Linked DNA regions of Canis lupus familiaris. The protein of the gene in region 1 interacts with the protein of each later gene in a biochemical or structural test. Links are inferred from orthologs where the notes say so. Each region holds a gene or a part of one and is shown on either strand. Other genes may lie near its edges. The genes, in order: PLAU and SERPINA5.

The links.
Region 2: the proteins of PLAU (region 1) and SERPINA5 form a complex in vitro, tested with the Homo sapiens proteins (2 studies listed by BioGRID). The link is inferred for Canis lupus familiaris from reciprocal best matches to the Homo sapiens genes PLAU and SERPINA5.

Annotation. Positions count from the first base shown.
Region 1 is NC_049225.1:25,060,143-25,064,707, forward strand, and holds the start of PLAU (urokinase-type plasminogen activator precursor), read left to right. Parts: upstream 1-1,753; 5' UTR 1,754-1,853; intron 1,854-2,081; 5' UTR 2,082-2,112; coding exon 2,113-2,154; intron 2,155-2,591; coding exon 2,592-2,625; intron 2,626-2,758; exon of another isoform or gene 2,759-2,781; coding exon 2,782-2,889; exon of another isoform or gene 2,890-3,217; coding exon 3,218-3,392; exon of another isoform or gene 3,393-3,573; coding exon 3,574-3,665; intron 3,666-3,850; coding exon 3,851-4,070; intron 4,071-4,287; coding exon 4,288-4,436; intron 4,437-4,565. UniProt on the Homo sapiens protein: Specifically cleaves the zymogen plasminogen to form the active enzyme plasmin.
Region 2 is NC_049229.1:63,890,887-63,895,246, forward strand, and holds the start of SERPINA5 (plasma serine protease inhibitor), read left to right. Parts: upstream 1-1,502; 5' UTR 1,503-1,644; intron 1,645-1,773; exon of another isoform or gene 1,774-1,888; intron 1,889-4,360. UniProt on the Homo sapiens protein: Heparin-dependent serine protease inhibitor acting in body fluids and secretions. Inactivates serine proteases by binding irreversibly to their serine activation site. Involved in the regulation of intravascular and extravascular proteolytic activities.

The DNA.
Region 1 (4,565 bases):
GTCTGAGGAGGGCAGCCTGGGTGGCTCAGAGGTTTAGCGCCGCCTTTGGCCCAGGGCATGATCCTGGGGTCCTGAGATCGAGTCCCACGTCAGGCTCCCTGCATGGAGCCTGCTTCTCCCTCTGCCTGTGTCTCTGCCTCTCTCTCTCTCTCATGAATAAGTAAATAAAATCTTTAAAAAAAAAAACAAACAAACACATGTCTGAGGAATATGTGCTTGTGCACGTCTATACAACTATGTGCCCTTGCCCAGGGCAGGAAGGGCGGGTGGAGTCCTTTACACATGGTTTGTCTTCCTGGAGGCCAATCTGGTTTGATAAGCAATCATTTTTTATCTTACTAGAAGCAAGGCTTTATGATGAAGTCTGGAATACTAAGTACATATGTGGTTTTTTTTTTTAAAGATTTTATTTATTTATTCATGAGAGACACACAGAGAGAGGCAGAGACACAGGTAGAGGGAGAAGCAGGCTCCATGATGGGAGCTGGATGCGGAACTCGATCCCAGGACTCCAGGATCACACCCTGGTCTGAAGGCAGGTGCTAAACCGCTGAGCCACGCAGGGATCCCCAATACATATGTGTTTTTTAAAAAAATCTGTAATTACGTTTTTGGAATGGGTGATACAAAGGTATGTTTTCAAAAATGTAAACAGCATAAAAGGGCATACAGTGAAAAATAATCTCATTCTTGTCCTCCAATTCCCCAATCCCTCTCCTCAGATGTGAAAACAGAACTTCTTACCCCTCCACAGCTTACTGTCAGGGTTAATGAGGCTTTACTAGTGTCTTTATCAATAAAGTATACTCTGGCCCCAGCAAATAAAAGGATTGTTTGTTATAGGAACTTTTTGAAACATCCATCAATACTTCAATAGAAAGCATTGATAGTTTGTGCCCTTAGACTTTGCTCTCACAATCCGGTATTCCTCATCCAACCCTTATCAAGCCCTCACTTTCAAAGACCACTCTTAAGTCAAACTGCAAGAAAAATCCGACCTTGCCTACAAGCTGCCCCTGCCAGCCACTACCAAAGGCCCTTTCCTTCAGAAGCAATAAACTCGCTTGTCTTATCCACTGGTTGGATTGATGAATTTTGGGAAGCTCCTATTTGACAGACACATCCCCTGTTAGCAAGACTCACCGAGTCCGTGTCACATGCATTTTCTTTCTTTTCAAAGATTTTATTTTTAAGTGACCTCTTACAGCGACCTGGGGCTGCAACTGGCAACGCAGAGATGAAGAGTCCCACGCTCCCCGCACTGAGCCAGCCAGGTGCCCCTGTCACCTGCATTTTCACGTGGAGAAAGAGACTTAGCTCTAGGAGCCGCGCACTAGGTCCCTATACCCCGGGGTCCCGGTCACTCTCTTAGGCAGTGGGGGGCCGAAGGTGGGAAGACTGGAAAAGAGCTGATTTAGGGGATCTGGGAAGAGACAGCAGAGCCGGACGGAGGAGAGTCTCGCTAGTGCAGTTCGGGGCGCTCTCGGCCTGGGGTGGAGCCGGGGCCAGGTGAACGGGAGGAGGGGCCGAGGGAGTTAGATGCCCCTCGATCCCTCTGTTCAGACCTCGCTCGTCCCCTGCGCTGGGGGCCGCGCTGCGCCCCGCTCCCAGCCGAGGCCGTGGAAGCCCACGGGTCCAGGTCGCGGCTGTCCCCAGGGAAGCCGAGGGAAGGAAAGGGTTGGGGAGATCCCAGGCTGGGGCGGGGCCAGGGCCGGGGCGGGTCCTGATATAGACAGAGCCCCGCAGCCTGCGAGCGGCACAGCGCGGCCCCCGGAGCCCCAGAGCCTCGCGGACTGTCCGAGCCCCAGCGGGTCCCTCCGTCCCGGCTCCGCGTCCCCCCGCCGCAGCTACCGGTGAGTGCAGGCCGCCCCGACACCCCCCGCCCCAGCCCCGGCCGCGCGGGGTGCCCGGCCCGGCCCCGCCGAGCCTGAGTCAGCGCTGCCCGCGCCGGTGCGCCTCGCCGGGCATCCCCCCGCGGGGAGCCCCGCCCGCGCCCCGGCCCTGCCCGAGCTGCCGGCACCCCCGGCCCGCGTCCTCGCTCCCCCGCGTCCTTCTCAAGTTGACCTCTCCCTCCCGAGCAGAGCCGCCGCCCGGAGCCTCAGCCCCGCCACCATGAGAGCCCTGATGACGTGCCTGCTCCTGGGCGCCCTAGTGGTGAGCGACTCTCGAATTAGCGGCTTTCCCGCTCTGGCTCCCCGCGGCCCGAGGGGGGCGGGGGGCGGCCTAGGGGGCCGGAGTGCCCCGGGTTCCAGCAACCGCGGGGCCGGACCGCGTCAGGGGGAGGAGGACAGATGTGGCCGTGAGCATCCTGACGGCTCAGGGAGTTCCCACTTTGGGGCAAGGGGGGAAGAAGCCCCAGAGACCGCGCCAGCCTCCTTGCCGGCTCTGTGACGCCGGCTTGAGTCCATCCGTTTCTCCCTGCTTGAAACCTATGATCTTGCACTTGAGGGCTAGTTAGATGTGAACAAGGAGAGGACAGAGGGACACGGAGGAAAGGGTGAGATTTGGGATTGGGGCCAGTGTTTCCTCATCTTTGAGGCCCAGGAGCCTGGGACCTTGGATGAACTTCTCCTCGCCTCCATCTCTTCCAGGGCAGCCATGAGTTTCATCCAGTGTCTAGCGCATGTGAGTATCCACCCGTTGCACAATATCTGGCTGCACAGACCACTTGCAGAAGCCTCAGGGGGCGGCCCCTCCCAGACGGCGCTGCAGGCCTGGCTCCCCCCTTGCTGCTCCTGCGCCCCCCCCCCTTGCTTACCCTTCCATCTCTGTGATCTCCAGCAAACTGCAGCTGTCTGAACGGAGGAACGTGCGTGTCCTACAAGTACTTCTCCAACATTCAGCGATGCAACTGCCCAAAGAAATTCCAGGGGGAACACTGTGAGATAGGTATGGGGATCCTGACTCTAACTGGGGAGGAGGGGGCACCAGAGACTTGGGGACAGGGAGGATGGGCAAGGTGCAAGAGCAGGCAGGAGTCAGGAGCTGGAGGTGGAGCAGGGAACATCTTCATCCCTGTGTGATATACACAGTGGAGCATAAACACATGCTGTTTCGTGAATCTGTGGTTGCACAAATGTGCAATGAGGAGGGAAGGAAACCCTTTCTAGTGCTTTCTGCCGGGCCTGAAATCATGTGAGGCCTGATAGGCTCTCTAAAATACCTGTCTGAATTTCCTCTTCTTTCTAATATCTCTCATCCTCCCATTCTTCCTTAGATACATCAAAAACCTGCTACGAGGGGAATGGTCACTCTTACCGCGGGAAGGCCAACACCAACACCAGGGGCCGGCCCTGCCTGGCCTGGAACTCCGCAGCTGTTCTTCTGAAACAGTACCATGCCCTCAGACCTGATGCCCTTCAGCTGGGCCTGGGCAAACACAATTACTGCAGGTGAGGTGGGAGCAGCAAAGAGTCTCTAGCCCCACAGGGACCCTGTTACCATCCCCTATATTTCCGGAGTGCTGTCCATAAGCATGAGAATAGCAAGGCCTCTGGCTGACTTTTCCCTGGAGGGGAAGAAAATGCATTCTGGGTTGGAATGACACTCCCCCCAACCTCTCTGTGTTACCAGGAACCCGGACCACCAGAGAAAGCCGTGGTGCTATGTGCAGGTTGGCCTGATGCAGCTTGTCCAGGAGTGCACGGTGCAGCACTGCTCTTTTGGTGAGTGTCACTGACCTGTTTATGACAGTCAGGTGGAAGGGGACAAACTTATGTGTCCCTTTATCCCATCACAAGAGGGTGGAGGAGGGAGGCCTGCCTGGCCTTGAAAAACTGGGAGGTCAGAGGACAAGACAGGGACACTATCCTACTTGCCTCCCTAAGACATCCTTTTCTTTCTTCTCCAGAAAAAAATCCCCACTCTCCTCCAGAAAAAGCAGAGTTTCAATGTGGCCAGAAGGCTCTGAGGCCTCGCTTTAAGATTATTGGTGGAGAATTCACCACCATCGAGAACCAGCCTTGGTTTGCAGCCATCTACAGGAAGCACCGTGGAGGCTCTGTCACCTATCAGTGTGGTGGCAGCCTCATTAGTCCTTGCTGGGTGGTCAGCGCCACACACTGCTTCATGTAAGTCCCTCCGTCTCTTCTCCCTGACCCTCCTGCCTTACCCCCAAAACATCCCATTCTCCTTCCCAGCAAAGGATTCCACTTAAATTCCACCCCCCTTAAGTCCTCTCCATGCAGTCCATGGCTTTGGGGACAAGTCGTGCTCTGAGGTTGCTGTGGAGGGGAAATGACAAGATCTCATGAGATCAGACTATCTGACAAGTCTCCCCTCCCACAGTAATTCCCAGAAGAAGGATGACTACATTGTCTACCTGGGTCGGTCAAAGCGTATCTCCAAAACATTTGGGGAGATGAAGTTTGAGGTGGAAAAGCTCATCTTGCATGAGGACTATAGTGCTGACAGTCTTGCTCACCACAATGATATTGGTGAGTGGAAAACCCTTTTCTGCCATAAAGATGATGATTGGAGGAAGTGGGGTCCAAGAAGAGAACCAAATGGGAGATTGAGGTTGTTAGGGGGAACTGAAGATCCTGTTTTATATAATAAAGGGACAT
Region 2 (4,360 bases), on another chromosome or scaffold:
CTATAATGAGGTTTAGGACCCACCTGGATAATCTGTGCTAGTCTTCTGCATTTCAAGATCCTTCACTTTGGAACGTCTGGGTGGCTCAGTGGTCGAGCATCTGCCTTCGGCTCAGGTCGTGATCCCAGGGTGCTGGGATCGAGTCCTGCATCGGGATCCCTGCAGGAAGGCTGCTTCTCCCCCTTTGCCTGTGTCTCTGCCTCTCTCCCTCTGTCTCTCAGGAATAAATAAAATCTTTTAAAACAAAAATTCTTCACTTAATCACATCTGCAGAGTCCCTTTTGTCATATAAGGGAAGATCCACAGATCCTGGGTATTAGGATGTGGCTATCTTTGGGGGACATGTTATCCACCCCAGCACAGGCATGTAATACGATTTCCACCCTACAGAACACAGTTTAGGAATCTCTAGGTTCTTTAAAGGACTCTTGCTATGTCACATGGGACAATGGACGGAAGAGACCTAGCTTTCCCCTTGCTAACGCTCCCCCTTATTAGCTGTGTGCCTTTGGGCTGATTACCTAACCTCTCTCTGCTTCTGTCTTCTCACTGATCCGATGGAGATACTAGTACCCACCTTCCAGCACATCTGGGAGGCAGCGAGCACAAAGTAAGTGCTCAATGCCCAGTAGTGATGGTGTTAACCTGTGGACTGAGGTGGGCCTCAGTCTCCTCCTGGTCTCAGAGGCAGTAGAGGGACCCTGTTTGCTGAACACCAAGATCGCTTCCCCTGGGCAACGTCTGGCCCCCTGTCTCCTCTGCCAATTCCCCACCCCAGCTCACCCACATCACCCCTGGGTCTTGGCCACACGCAGGACACCTGACACCAGGGCCCGGGGACCTTGGGAATGAAGCAAGGGTTGAGCCAGCACCCTGCACCAGTATCTTGGAAATGCTCTTGAAATGGCGGGGCTGAGTTCCAGAGCCCCAAGGTCAAGGTCAAAAAGGGCAGTTCAGCTCCAGCTGAGCCTACTGAAAACCCAGATACAGTCCTTTCCTAAGGAAAAAGCCTTGACCTTGAAGTTGGTGACCTGGGCACCAGGCACCATTCTGTCCCTAATTTGATGTCCCGCTCATCTTTCTGAGCCTCAATTCAGTTATTTGCACAGCAAGGGGACTGGATCCAATGGTCCCTGCATCCAGCCATGGTGACAGTCCCTCTGACTTCCTCTAGACTCTCACCATTGAAGGAATCCTGTAAGCTCTGCCTGGGAATCCGGTAGTGTTGGGGGGTGTGGAGACCTCGGGCTCGCACGATCCTGCCCCAGATGTAGAGCCAAGTGGCTGTGGGAGCAGAGGAATCAGCCTGGAGAAAGGAAGGCTTGCCAGAGGGTGTCCCTTTCTCTGTGTCTGGAATGCCAGCAGCAGGTGGCCTCCCTGGGGACCCCGTGCTGTGGAGGCCAACGGGGGTCTGTGTAAGACTGGTGAGTGGGTGGCCCCAGGTCAGAGCTCAGGTGGCTGTGCCTGCAGCCTACCCGTTGGCAAGAAGCCCTCCAGGACAGGACGGGGCAGGGCCAAGGGGGCGGGGGCGGAGTCAGGGCTCTGCCCAGGTCAGTGACAAATGCTCCTTCCAACAGCTTCTGGTTTTCGCTGAGCGTGAGGGACTGGGACCTCCACTGTGTGCACGCTTGACTGTGAGACAGAGTAAGTACAGGCATTGAAGACGGACAGGGGGCCCACGGGCTTGAGGGCATGGGGCTTGATAGGATACTGGGGTTCTGGGATTTGAGAGGCTTCGAAGCTTTGGGGCAGCGCCAGAGTGACCAGGAAAACTTCCCGCGGGGGTGGGGAGAGAGCCAGGGCCTCAGAGGCCGCAGAGTCCACCCTCTGCCCCAGAACTGTGAACTTGGGCACACACTACATTGGCAGCACCTTGGTGTCCTTTTAGGTAAGATGCGAATTATTACACCTTCCCCACAGTGGCTGTGAAGATTCGGTATGTGGTAGCTCTCGCCCAGGAGGGATTTTGATCCCTGCGGCACATCTGGCAACATCTGGAGACATTTGTAGTGGGCACAGCTGGGGACAGAGTTGCACTGGCGTCTAGTGGGTAGAGGTCAGGGATGCCCCTAAATCGCTGACAAGGCACAGGAGAGCCCCCATGACAAAGAACAGCTCCGAGGTGGAGAAACCCCGAGACAAGGTAGAGGGGACAGAGTCTGGTCCACAGGCGGTGCTCCTCTGTCTGGCTTTCGGCACCTGCCATCTCGGACCTTTAGAAATCAGGAGAAACGACGGAACAGCTCTGTTTCCCTGAGTCAGGGCTGCCCCGGCTGGAGCTGCCACCTACAGGGGTCTCAGGGGCTGCTCGAGCTCCGGATGCTGTGTGGCGATTTGTTAAATAGGCGAAACTTGGACATAAAATAAGTATACTTTTCGGTTTTTCTAAGGAGAGGGGCAGTTGCTGCCCAGCGTCCTTGGTCACGGATCAAGAAGCATGAAGGATAAGGCGGTGGGCAGAGGGGGCCGGGAGGCGATGGGTTCGTTTGTGCTGGTGGTAGTTTCACGGGTGTACATGGCCCAGGGCTTTTTGTATGTCACTCGTATCTCAAGAAATGAGTTTTTAGGAAGGAAAAGGGAAATGGAAGCCGAATAGCAGAGGAGAGTTGTTCCAAGCCACCTGGCAAGTTAGCCCTGGGTGCAGGAGGGCTTCGCGTCCAGCACAGGTTCTAAAGCCTCTGAGCCATAGAGAAGGACTTCATTCATTCATTCATTCATTCATTCATTCATTCTTCCAAAAAGGGGTCTGAGCACCAGCCCTTGGCTGCAAACCTCACAGCAAGAGCCTTTTCGGTTGCTTTTCGGTTGCTCTCTGCTAGGAGCTCGTGCTCTAGTTGGGAACAGAGGCCGGGAGGCAGGAAGGCACCTGCAAATGCACGTGGGACCCGGGCTTCCATCACTGTGGGGGCTCAGGGGCCATCCTAGAGAATAACAATGCACGGGGAGGGGCCGGGCAGGGGCAAGGCATGACAACAGCGAGGAGGAGCAGACAGGTCTCCTTAGGCACACACCTCCCACAGCTGAGCTCCAAGTTGACCTGGTAGGACTTTGGGACCTAGCATTCGGAATAAGTGCAGCAGTTTTGGAGTCCATGGATGGTGGGGATTAGTGGGAGGACTTCCTCAGCGCCTGCCCAGGCCCTGCCCTGCCCAGCCCGGCCGGCTCAAGTCACTCTGGCCTGGGGTGCCAGATGCGCTGGATCCATCTGCTCTTCTCCCTCGGACATGCGGGGACCTCTCTGCAGAAACACTGGCATCGGGGGGCCCAGGAGAGGGCCAACGAGGCCAGGCTCCACTCTCCTGATTGAGAGCCCATCTCCCAGGGGCCAGGCTCCCAGGGCCTGGAGCAGACTCGCCCCAGCTCACAGTTGGCACAAAACTCTGTCAAAGCTGTGTCTTTCCGCCGGAGGCCTAGTAATATGATGACTGGCACAGTCCGGGTTTGAAACTGGGAAGCCTAAAACCAGCACCCTCATGCCTCCACTCTCTCGGACCCCCTATTTCCTCCTCTGTACAATGATGGTGAAGATACCAGCTCCGTGTTGCTGTGGAGGAGCATAAATGAGCTTGGGCGAGACCTGGGGATACTCACGAGGACCTAGCTACAGGGGAGAGGGAACAAGGTATCTGTCTCAGAACCGTGAAAGGAAGAACGAGGCAGTGTGTACACCAGTCACAGGAATCTGGATTTTAATCCCGGCTCCATCACTCACTGGCTGAGACAAGCTATATACCATTTTGCTCAGCCTCAGTTTACCCATCCGCAAAATGGTCTCAATGATGTTTCTTCCTTTGATGGGTAGATGCAGTAATATTTGTAGAGTATTGAAGAGGTTGTTAATGAACACTGTTTTGGGTTTCTTTTTTTTTAAGATTTTATTTGTTTATTCACGAGAGACACAGAGAGAGGCAGAGACACGGGCAGAGGGGGAAGCAGGCTCCCTGCGGGGAGCCTGAGCCTGATGCAAGAGTTGATCTCAGGACCCCAGGATCACACCCTGAGCTGAAGGCAGGGGCTCAACCACTGAGCCACCCAGGCGTCCTCAAACACTGGTTTTAGTAAGAGAGAGAGAGTGAGCCCAAGTGGAGAGTTCTAGGTCCCAAACCTGCAGCCCAGGGGAGAGGGCATGAGGCTGGGGCCGCCTCCAAGGAGACCCCGGTATCTGGGGAGACTCGGTGGGTGCTGAGAAAGTGGCTCTGGCCCACCAGACCTCTGGTGCTTGGTGGGGGGCAAAGGGGCAGTGGTGGGGAGAATTGTTTATGAACAAGCTGAGGCCTGCAGAGAGGAAGGAACTGGCTCAAGGCCACCGGGCCAGCTGAAGGCACAGGAGGCCAGAACTCTCTCTCCTGCCTGCGGCAAC